Stegostoma tigrinum: one gene and its partner. The protein of the gene in region 1 purifies or fractionates together with the protein of each later gene. This does not show direct contact. Links are inferred from orthologs where the notes say so. Each region holds a gene or a part of one and is shown on either strand. Other genes may lie near its edges.

Region 1 (7,241 bases):
CCACTCTGCACCAGATTTGCATGCCATTCTCAATCTCCTAAATTCTGCATTCAAGAAACTTGATCGCTGCTGAAACAAAAATCTCACATCAACCCAAACCTGGTCATCCAACTCACATTCCTATATGTATTAGTTAAGAAACTCTTGAATATGTTGAGCAGTTCCCTCATTTTGGCAGTCACCTGTCTCCAAACATTGACACTGATGAGAAAATTCAAGAGCTAACCTACAACTGCCTAGCCTTCTCGGCAGCAGCAATTTGACTCCACAAGAAAACAACATTCCTAGTGCAGAGAGCAGTTATTGCCAACATAATCTTAGACAATGTATCAGTAATGCATCAGATCAAGAGAGAAATTCCCACAGTAACATGTCCATCCCATCCTCTGGATTCATCGGAAGGTTGGTCAAAACCTTGTATCCTTATTGAAGGCAGTTTCTAAGCAAAGATAAAAAAATCTTACAATTTTTTAACAAAGATCTGTAGCTTGGGTTGTGGTTGGAGTTATTAGTTGGTCCTTTGAGCTGACTGGTTTTTATGCAAACATTTTGTCTCCCTTCTAGATGATAATGTCAGTGCCACGTAGCCTGAATTGTAGTGTTGTTGTTCTGTCCCCCTGTGAATTTATATGCTCCAGTCTGTCATGGTGAGCAATCTTGTCTCTGCTTTTATACCATAGTGGTACGTAGATGGGGTCTATTTCAACATTTTTATTAATTGCATCAGTGCTTGAAAACCAGGCCTCCAGGAATTCTCATGCTTGTCTTTGTCTGACTCATCCTAATACTGTAACTTTGTCCCAGTCAAACTGATGTCCTTCTGTGTCAGAGTGTATTGAAATGAGGCACAACCAATTCTTCCTCATTTCAATACATTCTGACATAGAAGGACATCAATTTGACTGGGACAAAGTTATAGTACTAGGGCAAATGAGGCAAAGACAAGCACGAGAATTCCTGGAGGCCTGGTTTTCAACCAATCGACGTAATTAACAAACATGCTGAAATAGACCCCATCTATATACCACTACAGTACAAAAACGGAAACAAGACTGCTCACCGTGACAGGCCAGACCATACAAATTCGGAGTGGGATAGAGCAACAGCGCTTCAATGGAGGCTACGCAGCACTAACAATGTCACCTAGAAGGGAGACAAAACATCTGCATGAAAACCAGTCAGCTCAATGAGCCAACCAACAAGCCAGAGAAAAGAACCCCTGCAAAAATGAACTTTGATACACTGAACATTACTTGATGGTCAAAAAGCATCTACCATTCTGTTTTTTCAATGCCCAAATGGTCAGTCTTCTGGGAAGGACAATGAAAATGTTTCAATGACACTCAGGAGATCTTTTTGAAGTGTCGCAACATTGGCATTTATGATTAGGAGAAGCATATTATCAATTGTTCAAAGGGACAACATTTGTCCATTAAACTGCATCATATGTTAAGTGACGTTTGATTCACATCATCTTAATGATAACAGAACAAGGAAAAGGAAAGCAAATCCTGCCCTCTAGACCCCACTACCTACAGGACACCTTGCTTCATGTGTTCATAGATCTGTAGTTTCATAATCAAGCCTCATCAGTCATGTGGAGACCCATGCAGAAACTTGACAGTGGCAGCAGCAATAGTGAGGCCTTGGGCTTATCCAGTTACACACAAGCTTGTAGCTCAGAAGTAAATGTCAAATGTATTTGAACTCTAATCATTTAAAAATTAAATATACTGAACTTGTTGACTGATCTTATTTACTTGACAAAGTAAAAACTGCAACTAAATTTATAGGTGAATGAAGTTTCTCTCAATTAGTATTGTTTTTCAAAATACGATATGAAGAACCAGAAACATATTTTTGATGCTGATTAAATCAATGAACTTTTACACACCAACATACTAACCATAAGATACAAAAACATCGAAGGAATTGTCATTCAGGAGTTTAAAATGACCAGGAAAGGGCAAATAATAATGCATTTTTTGACAATTTGAAAAATGAACACAACTACACAATAAAAGCCTTCACCACCAAAAAAATCAGATATATCTCTAATGTAATAAATATTCAAGGTCGCGTTAAACTGGGAGATTGTTTTTGGAAATATTTCGGAAACGCTATCATCTGGCTATTATTACGTCAATATCTTAGCAACAGCTCTTGGTGGTGTATATAAACCCGAATTATTTTCTCTTCAAATTTATATCTACAATTAGAAAGAATATCAAATCCTACAGGCAAACTGAAAAAAAAACTTTCGTGAAACTACTAAACCGAAGCATGGGGCGAGGGAGAAACTAAAACACTAGTTCTCTTACTACAGAAACACAATGTCCATTCAACATTACGTACATCCTGTTGTCAATCATATCATGTTTGCACAATTTAACGTCTTAAAAACAATCGCACCTTTTGCCTCTTCTAATCTTAAATCAAAGTTGCTCTCGGAGACACACGGGGGAAATATTCATCTAGCCGCCAAGACGGGAATAAAACGCTAAATTCGTTTAAAAAAAACTGTACTTGCTGGGAAGATTTCTAATTTGGGCCAATGAAATTTTTAAAAACACTATATGCTTTAAAAAAAAGCACACGTAGTGCTTAAAAAAGGGGCAGAAACAGGGGATAGGGCTGGAGCTGGTATGAGGAAAGTGGATCAGCTGGACCTCAGCAGGCAGTCTACCACTTCTTACCTAAATAGGACAAGCGAATTAAGCGAGGATCCTCCAGCCCCAGTGAGCGTTTCCTCACATCCCACACCAGGTTAGTGGGACGTGACATCCTGCCGCTCCTCCTGTTACACAAATAATATCAACCACTGCGGGCGTCCGTCATTATCCACCCGACAAGACAACAAGGTAGCCAAAGACACCATCAAACACCACCCGAGCCAAACCGCTCCTTTTTCATATCGTTGTTATTATTGTGGTGACGACCGTCATGTTGGCAATGGGCGAACGGCCGTCTGTCAGCCGTGGAAATATCGCGAGATCCCGTTCAAATGGACATGGAGGAGGTGGGCCAAGCCCCGCGCATCAGCGGACGCGCGGACGTCACCAGACTTCCGCCAGCAGTAACCACTCACATCTGTCTAAAGCGGGGGCTGGGTGCCGAGCGTAGTGTCATTGGTCAGTGACGGTAAGGGGCGGGTTTCAAAGTGATCCGGCTCCGCCTATGGCTGTTTCGCACCGGCTGTCGTACAATTAGTGTCGGGCTGTACAAAGTTAGAGGTCGAAACGGGGCCGACCGTGAATTTTCCGGGCCCTCTAGGCGGTTTGCTACCGTCTGTACAGACACTCCCTTTCTGAACGGTTGCGGGTTGTAATTAGGTGGAAGGAATATGGCAGTAGCGGGTCTGAGAGCGAGTTATCACCGAATGATGGATAAAATCGGGAAGATGCTTCCTCCCAAGATGAAGCCGTTTTATGATCACCCAGCAGGTAACACAGCCGTGCGACCGGCCTGGGCAGGCGTGCTGAATGGGTTTATTCTTGACGGAAGTGGCTTGGGCGAAAGGGTGGGTAGGTGTATGTGTGAAGGAGTGGATCCTGCTGCTGTTGCTATGAATGTTTGCTGAGCGAATAAAGGTGGGGGAATGCTGCACAAACATGAATAGCATTTAACAAACAAAAATCGCGGCTGCTTGTCATCGGTCGGTCTGGGACTTGGCATCTGCTGTCACTGAAATAAATGATTGTATGGCTTCTTGGGGGCAGAGAGGAAATGGGCCGCACTCCGAGGGGCCTTCAAATTTCGCCTTTCCAGTAAACTGGTTGTAAAGTGGGTCTTGACGCTTCACAGGTTTATTCCCGTGAATCAAGTCCTGGCACTTTAGTGCACAGTTAGAAATGTAGTCGTGTCATTCAGATAAGGTGAATGTAAAACGACTCCGGCAGCACAGACTGGTAAATTTAGGAACCTAGCGAGTTTATGCTGGTAATAACTTGGTTCTTCTCAGAATATTGTTATACGTGTTTTGACCTTGAAACTTCATTTTTAAAAATAAAGATCGTTGCTCGGATTGAAGGTAATTTGGTTTGGTGTCCCGTGTCGAATCACTTATTTGTAAAATTTAAAGCAGTTGTAGGTTTAATATTTTCAGATATGATTTTCAAAAGAAACTATGCGCGCAATTTCGATCGATTTTTCGTATCTCCAAGGAGATAACTACACGCCACTTCAACGGTAGCAGCACGGCTGTGACGTTTCAGCCTCCCTTGTAAACAGAAGGTTAACTTGCACGCGTTGCTGACCTTCTATCCAGTCTACGCTTGCCTCGACAACTGCTTAATGGTAACTGGTGTCAAACATGTGCATCTTTACAAACGTGTTTGGAGTAAAATGAATGTACTCTTAGGAGCAGTTTGGGATCCATCTTCCGAAAACTGTATTAGAGCATTGTGCCTTCTGTCATTTGATTCTGTTTTTTATTTGAATGTGTTTAGCAAAAATGGTTAAAGATGAAATAACAGAACCCACCTTTCCAACAAGCTGAATACAAGACAACATTCCCCCTGTAGTCAAGAACAAAAGCTTAAAATCGCCATTGAACTTTAGCAACATTGACATTCTTACAGATTCTTGCACTTACCCCCCCCCCCCCCCACCTCCCCCGTTCCATTTTTCTCTCGCTCTATTACCTTCTCCTGTCAATTGCATAATTTGGATGCCACAACTTTTCTCTGTTGGGGTAGATAAAGTATGGTATGGGATGTGCTGCCCTTAGTGCTTAGCTCTGAATGTGTGAAGTATTTTAATTTATGATTGGCTTGCAGTGCACTTGTCTATTTGTATTCCAGGATTAAATGGATGTAAACTGTGTACAGTCTAAGGAAAATTACGGAGTTGGATTTATGCTTCTTTCCTCAGAGCTTGTAACTGGCCTAGAGTGGCTGCTATTCTGGCAGTTATGTTCTGGTACTGAAGCCATAACCCTCTGGAAAGTTTGCCCAGGGATCTCTGCTCTCTGAGATAATAAAGTGTGAAGCTGGATGAACACAGCAGGCCAAGCAGCATCTCAGGAGCACAAAAGCTGACGTTTCGGGCCTAGACCCACCCTCTGAAGGGTCTAGGCCCGAAACATCAGCTTTTGTGCTCCTGAGATGCTGCTTGGCCTGCTGTGTTCATCCAGCTTCACTTTATTATCTTGGATTCTCCAGCAACTGCAGTTCCCATGATCTCTGCTCTCTGCTGGTTTTGATAGCAGCTCAGTCTTGTATCCTCTTCCTTTGGCTTGTTTCTTTTAGAGAATGGCGTGTAGCGGGTTTCCAGGGTTTATCAAAAGCATCATTGGCTTGCCCGTTGCTCCAGGTCATCCAGGTATCTTTCGAAGCTTTTCTAATGTTACTTTTGAATTTATTTGGCTATATATGACTATATTGTATACATAATTCTTTCAATTGGATGTAATTTTTCTAATTCCTTTCCAACTTGCCTAGCCTCAATGCTTGAGGTATTCCTTGGATATTGCCAATGTATGGATTTTATTTGGATAGAAAAGATGTAAAGAGTTGTTCTCCAGGTGGATACTTCAACCATCATTTTAAAGAGGTGTGTTTGGATTTGTATATAGCAGTCACACTATCACAATTTGCAGATACATCAAAAATATGAAGCTAGGTAACAGTGTGTAAGCAACTCTGGGCAACTTGGGCAGGTAGGTACCAAGTTAAATTTTAATGTGGACAATTGTGACTTGACACTTTTTTGTAAGGACAAAATAAGAGGGCATATTCTTGGGAAGACTTTAAAAGTGCTCAAAAACCTTTGAGTTCAAATAGACACACCTTTAAAAGTAGGAGGACATTGAACAGAAGAATGTTAATCATTTGCAAATCATTGGTTAGACAATAGGTAGAATCTTGGATAGCTTTCACCAAAAATACTAGGGCAGGTTGAGATAAAGCTTGACAATAATTGCTCTTTGGAAGAGAATCGTTATTTATTTACAGACTGGATATTGTGGGGCCTTTTGTTATGATAATGACACTTAAGAAGATGTCTAACTGCTATTTAAAGTTGACTTTTCACAAAAATGTTCCTCTAACCTTTAAGCTGGTAATGTGAGGCCATGAGTTTACAGTCATTCTCATTAAAAACAGCAGGCCAAGTTAGAAGAAATTTTTTTACATGGATGGTTTTTAGGCCACAGCATAATGATGTGGGAAATTCTTATCAGCTTTTAGAGGAAATGGTAATAAATATTTACTGAAAAAAAATATGGAATAAAGACAAGAAAATGGACAACTTTCTCATAGCCAACACTGGCATAAGGATCTGAATGGCCTCCTGTGATTCTATGGTGAGCTAGTGCCTATTTCACTATTGAAGAGGATGACAAAGCCAAACCCAGTTTTTGTCCTATTGAGCAGTCATGCATGTAATTAGATGCAATATCACTGCATAATCATTGGGGCAGGCAACCTCACCATTTTCTTCCCCAAAATATATATTACTCCTAACATTTGAGAAAGTACACTTGCATGAAATGAAATACTTGTTTCTTGTGCTACAAGGTGGCTCATTTCCACATAATTACAATTTATATTTAACATGTACATTTTTATTTCACACTGAACATTCTCCAGAGTGTGCACACCAAGGAGTTTACACGACTTCCTAAAATCTGGTTCCAGATGCCTACCGTAGACTGTTCTTCATTGGCGTTTGCAGCAATTGTCCCAAGCTTTAGTTTGTACTCCATAAGTAGCTCCTGGATATAGGAATATGTAAGTCTGCAACTCTCAGTCATGGCTAGATCTTTGATCAGGATTACCAGCAAGTTCCCTGCAGATAAAGGAGTGTCTTTCGGAGATCGGTTGTCTTCCAACACCGGTTGATGTTTATCTCAAAGTTAGTCCATGGGAATAGTTTGTAGAGCACAGAATCCTGCATTTAGTCACTGCATGAGATGAACCCTGACAAGAACCACCGTGTGTCTCTTCAGACTTGGCAAGGTACGTTTCATGATGGTAATTGGTAAGGGATTCAAGGGCAGCGTACAATGTCACCAAGATTCCAGGAGTGACTGAAGAATCTAGTTGGGAATGGCTTTTTCTCCACTAGTCAGCTTGTTTGAAAGTTCTGGCCCTGAGGCATTCTGCCATCTAACTTTGACAGTCTGCTCAGGGAATCGCTGTACAGGATTTATTATCTCCTCCTTTCCCTGGAGAGCCTTGGTGACATTTTGTACACACTGCTGTGTGATGAATTTCTGGTCAAATGTATTCTCTCAAAAT
Region 2 (7,588 bases), on another chromosome or scaffold:
GATATCAGAACATTTGAGCATTTTCGTTTCATCCTCTCATGTTTACCTCGTCTCGGGTCTCCAATTCTAAACAAACAAAGCAAAATGATTATATCACATATCCGCTTCTTTCAACTCGGATTTCAAGACGGTGGCCGAATTGAAATGGGTTGGAAAAGTTCTGTCTTGAAGCAAAGTCATAGTTGGAGTAACGGGCAGGTGGGGGCTTCTCGAGTCGGCACTGAAACCCAATGTATCTCAAGCAGTGGAGTAGCTCAGCTTCATCTTCGCTCAATTCACACCAGTTATAACGCACATTCACAGAAACGATCTGCACTACGACTGAAGTAGAACTTTGCAAGGCTTGCCACTTCTTGGCACTGATTTCAAATAGACAGAACATGTTAGAGATGTGCAATGACTTAGCTAGCTGCAGGAGAATGATGTGCTCCGCAGTGAAGTACAATGCAAATAGCCTCAAAAGGCAGAAAGAACGGTGCGCATTTGAGTTCCTGTGCCACTTTATTCCCACCCTAACTCGACTGATTTCGACGTACACGGATTGAAACGAACGGTTCTTACCTCGGCTTTTTTTTTGGACAACCTATACTCCTGACTTCAGCGGTGGCGACAGTATGGATGCCACTTGGTCTGTAAATTTACCTCGGGAATCCAGCCGACGTCGGCTTTCTCCAACAGCAAATCAGATTGCGGTAAGATAGGAAGGGGGGGTGGGGTTGTTGAGGGGAGGGAGAAGAATTTTGCTGAGAGCGCAAAAGAAAATGTTCAGGAAGTAAAAGGTGAAACGGAAAACATCGGGATCATCCAATGGGGGCGGCGGGGGCTGCGGGATGGTGGCTGGTGTGATTTTAACTTATTCTTCGGAAACTGACCAGATCCGGTGGAACGCCGATTTTACGCACCACCAGTTCCGTTCTATTGGTATAAATGGAGAGGAATATTGGGCGAGACTTACAACTCGAGTCTCGCCTGATTGTGCGGGTTCCTCGCCCATTGGCGAGTTGTCAAAATTACTGTTGAGTATCGCGTTGAACAGTTGAATCAAGTTTCGCTCGTCTGCAGGTTTATATCGAAAAAATCTTTGTGACTGTGAGATGCAGAACATTTGAAATTGGTTAACGTTTTGCAAACCACATGTAGCTCATTTGGAATGCTTAACTGCCATGTAAAATTTTAAAGCCAGAACTCCCAGAATATTGGACGAGAGAATTTTTTTTAAAAAAGGTCTCGTTTAAAATTCTATGTTTAAACGAACGCACGGCGTTTGTTTAACGTGCCCCGTTTTTATGATTGAGGTGAACGGATCAAAAACTAAATGTCTCCAATTAGATACAGACCAGATTTGAGGAATCAGTGGGTGGCAGTAGGTACCACGGAGAGAAGGTAAGTGATTGGCATAGACGAGAGATCTTATGATGGAACAGAAGATGAGATATTTTTAACTGCTTGAAGGGGTTCTTCCCAAAATGGGGAAATCAGTCTTGTCTGAAGACTCCTCCTGTCAGAGGTTTAAATTAGCCAGGAGAGAGTGTGGAGTTTGAAGACATCAGCAAGTTGAGATGGCTTGGCTGTACTCTTCGGTTCACTCGATACACTGTCACAGTGAGTGGTTCAAATATCTGACTGAACTCATTAAACAGAAACAACCAAACACCACGATGCAAATAATCATTTCACTGCGCATTCTACTTTCCCCTCTAATACAAATAAAGGCGATTGTCAACAGTTTTTAGTCGGAGTAGTGCACGCGCCTTGTCATCTAAAGTCGGCGACAGTTTGTTCGGAATTATTCCCGGGAGTTTGAGAGCTCCGGGTGACTCTGCACACGCTCCGTTGAAACACATACGTGTGTAACCTGGGAACGTGTGTCCGCGTTTCTCCTCGTGCTTTGCTGCAAGCATTTCCAAATCCGCCAGCCCATTAAAGGTCGAGAAGGCGGAAAACTCGGAGCTCCCTGATGAGCGACGGCCTTAATCCAGAAACTTTAGCCACAGGAATGTGCCTCGTAAGTGAAGAAGACCCCCTTTCACTCTATTTATAACGCGAATCTTCCGCTTTTTATCCGTTTCGTTCCCTCTTGCAGGTACTAGAGGTCGGCGAGAGCTCTTGAGGAACCGTGCTCACAATTCACGGAGAAATTCACAGAGAGAAACAAACAAAAACGGGAAGCGATCTCTTACTTTGTAACATCATTTTGCTTGTTTATTTTTGTTTGTGGCAGTTAAGGCGTCGACAGTAGCAACGTTGATTCGCGAGTTGTACTAATCTGAAGGTTTATTTTGTTTACTCTGGTGGCACCTGGCGTTTTCACGCTATAGCTGTCAAATGATGTTAGCAAAAGCATATCCTTAAAATAAATTTCCCTTTTTTATACCAGATAGCTACATCTCTGAATTTTTAATGTATTTTTTAAAGAAAAAGGTGGAAGGCACATTGTGCATTTTCTTCCCTTTGCAAACATTTTATATCATGACTATGTCCAATTGCAAGGTATTGTTTTTCCACCTCTAAAACAAAACCCCATAGCAATATCCAGGCTACTTTGTTGAATTCTCGCCGTGAGTCCCTGCTGTTTCCGCATTTGCTGGTTTTCCGGAACTCGCTAGCAGGTAATATGGTTTTGTTGTTGAAGACGCGCGACACCAAGTACCGTGTACCGTTACTTTTTGTTTTGCTTCGTTTGGCTATAATGTACTTTCCACCTTTTATTTTAAAGTAGCTGTTGAACTTTAAAAAAAGAAATTGGACATCTCGAATTGTGCACGGAGACACTGTTCGCCGATTTAAATATATATATATATCTTACTCTATCTTATTATATGCGCTACAGGAGCGAAGCGGGATGATATCAGCATGACGCTGGAATTAATGAAACAACACATTGGAAACATGAATTTAATGTGTATGCTTACCATTGTCCTGGCTTATTAGGGCGCCACAGAAACTCAGGTTAAATTGAAACGCCTCTCCTCCACAACTCCTACTAGAAAGCTAATCTTTTTTCTCCTCAGCTTTTAACTTGCCCTCTTTCTTTAATTGGCCGAATATCCAGTGAGATTTCAGCATCTCTGACCTGGCTTGTAGAAAAACCAATAGTGAGATTGCGAGGTGGGCACGTGTCCTCTTTTTACAACCGGGCGAGGGTGGGCTCTGTCCGAAACAAGCTATATAAAGGGACTGATCGAGGCCCCTCAGGTATGCGATAGATCCAGTTTGTTCGTTAACTGCCCGTCATTATTTAACTACAAAACATTTGATGATAATAGCTATTCTCGGGGCCACGTGGAGCACTGTACTCATCCTGAAATGACTCAGTATCTTGGTCATGTACAAAGATCGACCCCACTTCGGGCCCCGAGATCAACAGTGTCCCGGATCAATCGCTGGTGTTTGAACCAGATATCTCAATGATAGGCTTTTCTTCCCGTAACTAAATCCTGGAAGTAGCAGTGTTTGAATGGGCAAATCGACACTTCGATCTTTTTATTCCAATAACAATTTTGAAAGCTGGAGAGAGTCCTTTTCTAGGGGCCATTCCAGGTTAAACCTTTACTTTTCTGTTGGATCGTTCATACCCATGCAGCGGCCGTCTATGGCTGCGTTTAACAGTTGAAAGAATTTTAATAGGAATCCCTGCGATTACGTAAAGTCAAAATGCTGTGGCTGCTGGAAGCCAGGAACTGCTAGGAATTCTGAGCGGCTCTGGCCAAATGTTTGGACAATTGGAATGAGTTTCAGGTCCTGCTGTCACGAAATCGGCCTGTTTAACAAATCAAATCAGTCATCAGATTCAAAACGAGCCAAACAGTATCCAAATGCAAACGAAGCCCAATTCTTCCTCAGCATGGAATTCAGGGTGAGTAAGCGAGATTGGAACAAGTCCAATCCTATGAAAATGCCACGTCGGAGCTGGAAAGGCACCTTAATGGCGACGTTTAAATAATCATTTGCTATATTGCTGTATTTGCCTTCAACCAATAAACGTAGCATTTGCATCCATACAGCACATTGCTTGACTTCGCAAAATATATTGATGCACTGTACTTTGGAAGCACAGTTAGTGTTGTAATTTGGGAAAGTGGCTATCAGCTTGTAGAAATCCCACAAACAAGAAGATAGTGATATTGATAGTGGAATAAGGCTACTGGAACAAATCACAAACAAAAACAGAAATTTCTGGAAAAGCTTAGCAGATCTGGCAGTATTTGTGAAGAGAAATCAATTTTAGGCCATTCCTCAGAAAGGTCATCAGACCCGAAACGTTAACTCTGATTTCTCTTCACAGATGCTGCCAGACCTGCTGAGTTTATGCAGCAATTTCACTTTTCATTTCTGATTTATGGGATCCACAGGGTTTTTTTTGGTTTTTATTTACTGGAGCTAATTCCCCTGCTCTTCACAACAACAGTCAGAAGTCACACTACACCAGGTTGAAATCACAAGCTTTCAGAGCCTAGCCCCTTCATCAGGTGATGTGAGAGAGTAGCACACAGTCACAGAATTTATAGGCAGAGAGATCGAGGGTGGAGAGATCAAATAATCATATAAATGGCATGAGTGGAGGCTCGAGTAATAAGTCTCTGCAGATGATCAAAAGTGTCAGACAGTCTGAGTAATGTGTCAGCAGCTGAATAATAAGTGAAGGGATGACTTATAATCCAATTAAATGAGGCAGAGATATAATTACAAAAAAAAATTAATATCAGGTGGTGCTGGAGACAAACCAAATGACTGGAAAAACATGATAGGTATAAGAGTTGCATGCCGCGGGTGTAACCAAATTAATAAGTAATCCAAAACTGTACAGAATAATTAAGGTAGAGAGAACATAACAACTTATTAAGGTGATGGTGTCAAAACAGCAATAGGGTCACCAGGCCCAAATGTTAGCTCTGATTTCTCTTCACAGATGCTGCCAGACCTGCTGAGCTTTTCCAGAAACTTCTGTTTTTGTTTCCAGTAGGGTGTTATACATTCACTAGAGGTGGCAGCCAGATTCTCAGTGTAGAATCTCATCTGAAAGAAAGCAACCCCGTCACCACCTCCCAAACATTGCTCTGGGGTATCAAATTGATTTTGTGTTTTATATTAAGGATCTGAAATGAGATCTGAACCTTGAACCTTTGATGCAAAGGTGAATGTGCGACAAACTGAAGCTGAGCTAACACCAAAGCAATGAGGTTTTCCACAGAATAGTACTGAAAATTCAAACTGTCAGACATGTTGGGTGAAATGTAATTTTTTGTTTGTGTGGAGGAGTCGGGGAGGGCAGTTGGGGAAATGGCAGTTGTGGTGGTTAAGTATAGCATGCCCATCATATGATTGGTAAAAATGTTGCTCGTATTTATTTTACACATTATCATTTTATGTTTCAGAACCAAGCCAAAGTCTGTCTTTATATTGAACACATTTTTCTTACAAGATATCGACTCAATTCTTTAAATTTCAATACTGTTTATTTCATTTCAATCAGTAGTTCATGTCCCTTCACATACATGCCCACACTTTTATTAACTGTTTAAAAGATCAGAAGAAATCTTAGATAATTGTATCATTTTTGCATTTTGTGCATTGACATTTTCAAATCCAAATGAAGAAATCACCAACAGTCTCTCAGATAGAAATGATCCCATTACGGGTGTATTTGTATATATTTGGTGTATCCTATCTTTTCTTCTATGATGGGCAAACTTATATTTATCCATTGCATATCTGTATATTGCTGGGAATGTCTTATAAGGGTATATCTGTTTGATATATGATACTTATGCCTAAACTTGTCTTTGAGGAGTTTATTTGCACATTTTTATTAGGAATATACCTGCCCTTGAGCTTTTGTTCATTCATGGAATGAGGGCGTCACTGGCTAGGCAGCATTTATTGCCAATTCCTAATTGCCCAGAGGGCTGGTAAGAGTCACCTACATTGCTGTGGGTCTGGAGTCATGTGCAGGCAAGTCCAGGTAAGGATTGCAGTTTCCTTCCCTAAAAGACGTTGGTGAACCAAGGGGTTTTCTTTCAATGGATTCACAGTCATCATTAGTTTCTTAATTCCAGATATTTATTGAATTCAATTTCCACCATCTGCTGTGGCGAGATTCAAATCCAAGTCCCCAGAACATTATCTAAATCTCTGAATTAACAATCTAGCGATAATACCACTAGGCCATTGCCTCCCCTATGTGTGGCAAATATAACTAACTATATCTGGCTGTGAAGATTTTTTCTGCATTAGATAGTGACAGGTATATTTGTAATTGTAAGTAATAAGGATTTCAGTGCATACCTGTAATGGACAGTTTTAATAATTTTATGTGGAAGAATATATCTTTTTTTCTGTTATCTGTAAACTGTGTTTGTCTGATTTTGGGTATACGTTACCTCTCTAAGATTAGCATAATTTTACTTCTCTATGGCTAGTGTACCTGTGTATGTCTATGTTGTTTTTTGTTTCATGTCTTTACAGGTGTACCTGTATTTGGCTGTGATAGATATACCTACATTTGCTAACTGCAAGTCTACCTGTATATTTCTGTGATGTATATATAAGTATTTGTCTTTGACACAGGTACATGTTTGTGATGGGTATGTCTGTTTTATTTGTGACAGGGTAAACCTGTATTTATGCATGACATGTGTACCCCTAATGTTCATTATAGTCTGATCTATATTTGTCTGTAATGGGTTCCTGTATTTCTTGTAATAAATTATGTTCCCAGATCTGCCAGTTATGGGATCTATAGATGTGATGTGATGGGTATATTTGTATTAATATTGAGGTGGTACCTATGTTTTTCAGTGGTGTGCACATGTATTCGATTATGACATGCATACTACTTTCTGTCTTTGGCTATACTGCTAATTGCCTATGACCTGTTTGCTTGTATTTGATATTGCAGGTTATTTTGTATTTTTGTGTGAATTTTTACTTGTTATTATTCCTTAATTATATGCTTGTATTTGTCTATGACATGTATGCCAGTACAGGTGTATTTGCATTTTCCAACATGTTTGTATATATATATTTGCTGCTACGTTTGTATGGCTTTTTTTTGGCTGCATACCTGAATTTTCCTACTAATGGTGTGATTGTATATGCATCAAAACAATTATAATTGTACTTGTGGTCTGATTTTTAAAATAACATTACATTACAGCCAACGCAGAACAAGAGTAATCAGGTTGTTCCCACTCTTGAGTCTCAATCTTTACATTAGACAGATGTCAACTCAAACATTTCTGCATAACAAACAAAATAATCTTTCTGCAGAATATTGCCATAACTTTACCACTTAGCACACAAAACGATAATAAGTGAACAAACAATATCTTGACTTTCATCCTAAGACAGGAAATTTAGTCTTTAGTTTAATCAAATTAGATTACAATTTATGTATTTATTGATCCAGTACTTTCATGTGTGAACAAGATATCAGGAACTAAAGTCAATTTTCAAGCCTGGTTTCTTGTTACAAGCAGCTGCCATGCATTTTAGAGATACTTTTCAAAGGAGATAAGTCCGGAATGTTTGAGAGGACAGGCGGTGAGTGAAAGGGAATTCACTGCTGACAGTGTGATGGTTGATGACA

Evidence for each region.
Region 2: the proteins of dcaf6 (region 1) and troponin C, skeletal muscle-like purify together in Homo sapiens (affinity purification with mass spectrometry; 3 studies listed by BioGRID and IntAct, with this or other methods). This does not show direct contact. The link is inferred for Stegostoma tigrinum from reciprocal best matches to the Homo sapiens genes DCAF6 and TNNC2.

What each region holds. Positions count from the first base shown.
Region 1 is NC_081365.1:41,497,607-41,504,847, reverse strand, and holds the start of dcaf6 (DDB1- and CUL4-associated factor 6), read right to left. Parts: upstream 3,010-7,241; 5' UTR 2,785-3,009; coding exon 2,697-2,784; intron 2,435-2,696; exon of another isoform or gene 2,413-2,434; intron 1-2,412. Other genes in the region: mpc2b (mitochondrial pyruvate carrier 2b), read left to right, coding at 3,344-3,443. UniProt on the Homo sapiens protein: Ligand-dependent coactivator of nuclear receptors. Enhance transcriptional activity of the nuclear receptors NR3C1 and AR. May function as a substrate receptor for CUL4-DDB1 E3 ubiquitin-protein ligase complex.
Region 2 is NC_081372.1:51,804,244-51,811,831, reverse strand, and holds the start of troponin C, skeletal muscle-like, read right to left. Parts: upstream 3,022-7,588; 5' UTR 2,916-3,021; coding exon 2,913-2,915; intron 640-2,912; exon of another isoform or gene 562-639; intron 1-561. UniProt on the Homo sapiens protein: Troponin is the central regulatory protein of striated muscle contraction. Tn consists of three components: Tn-I which is the inhibitor of actomyosin ATPase, Tn-T which contains the binding site for tropomyosin and Tn-C.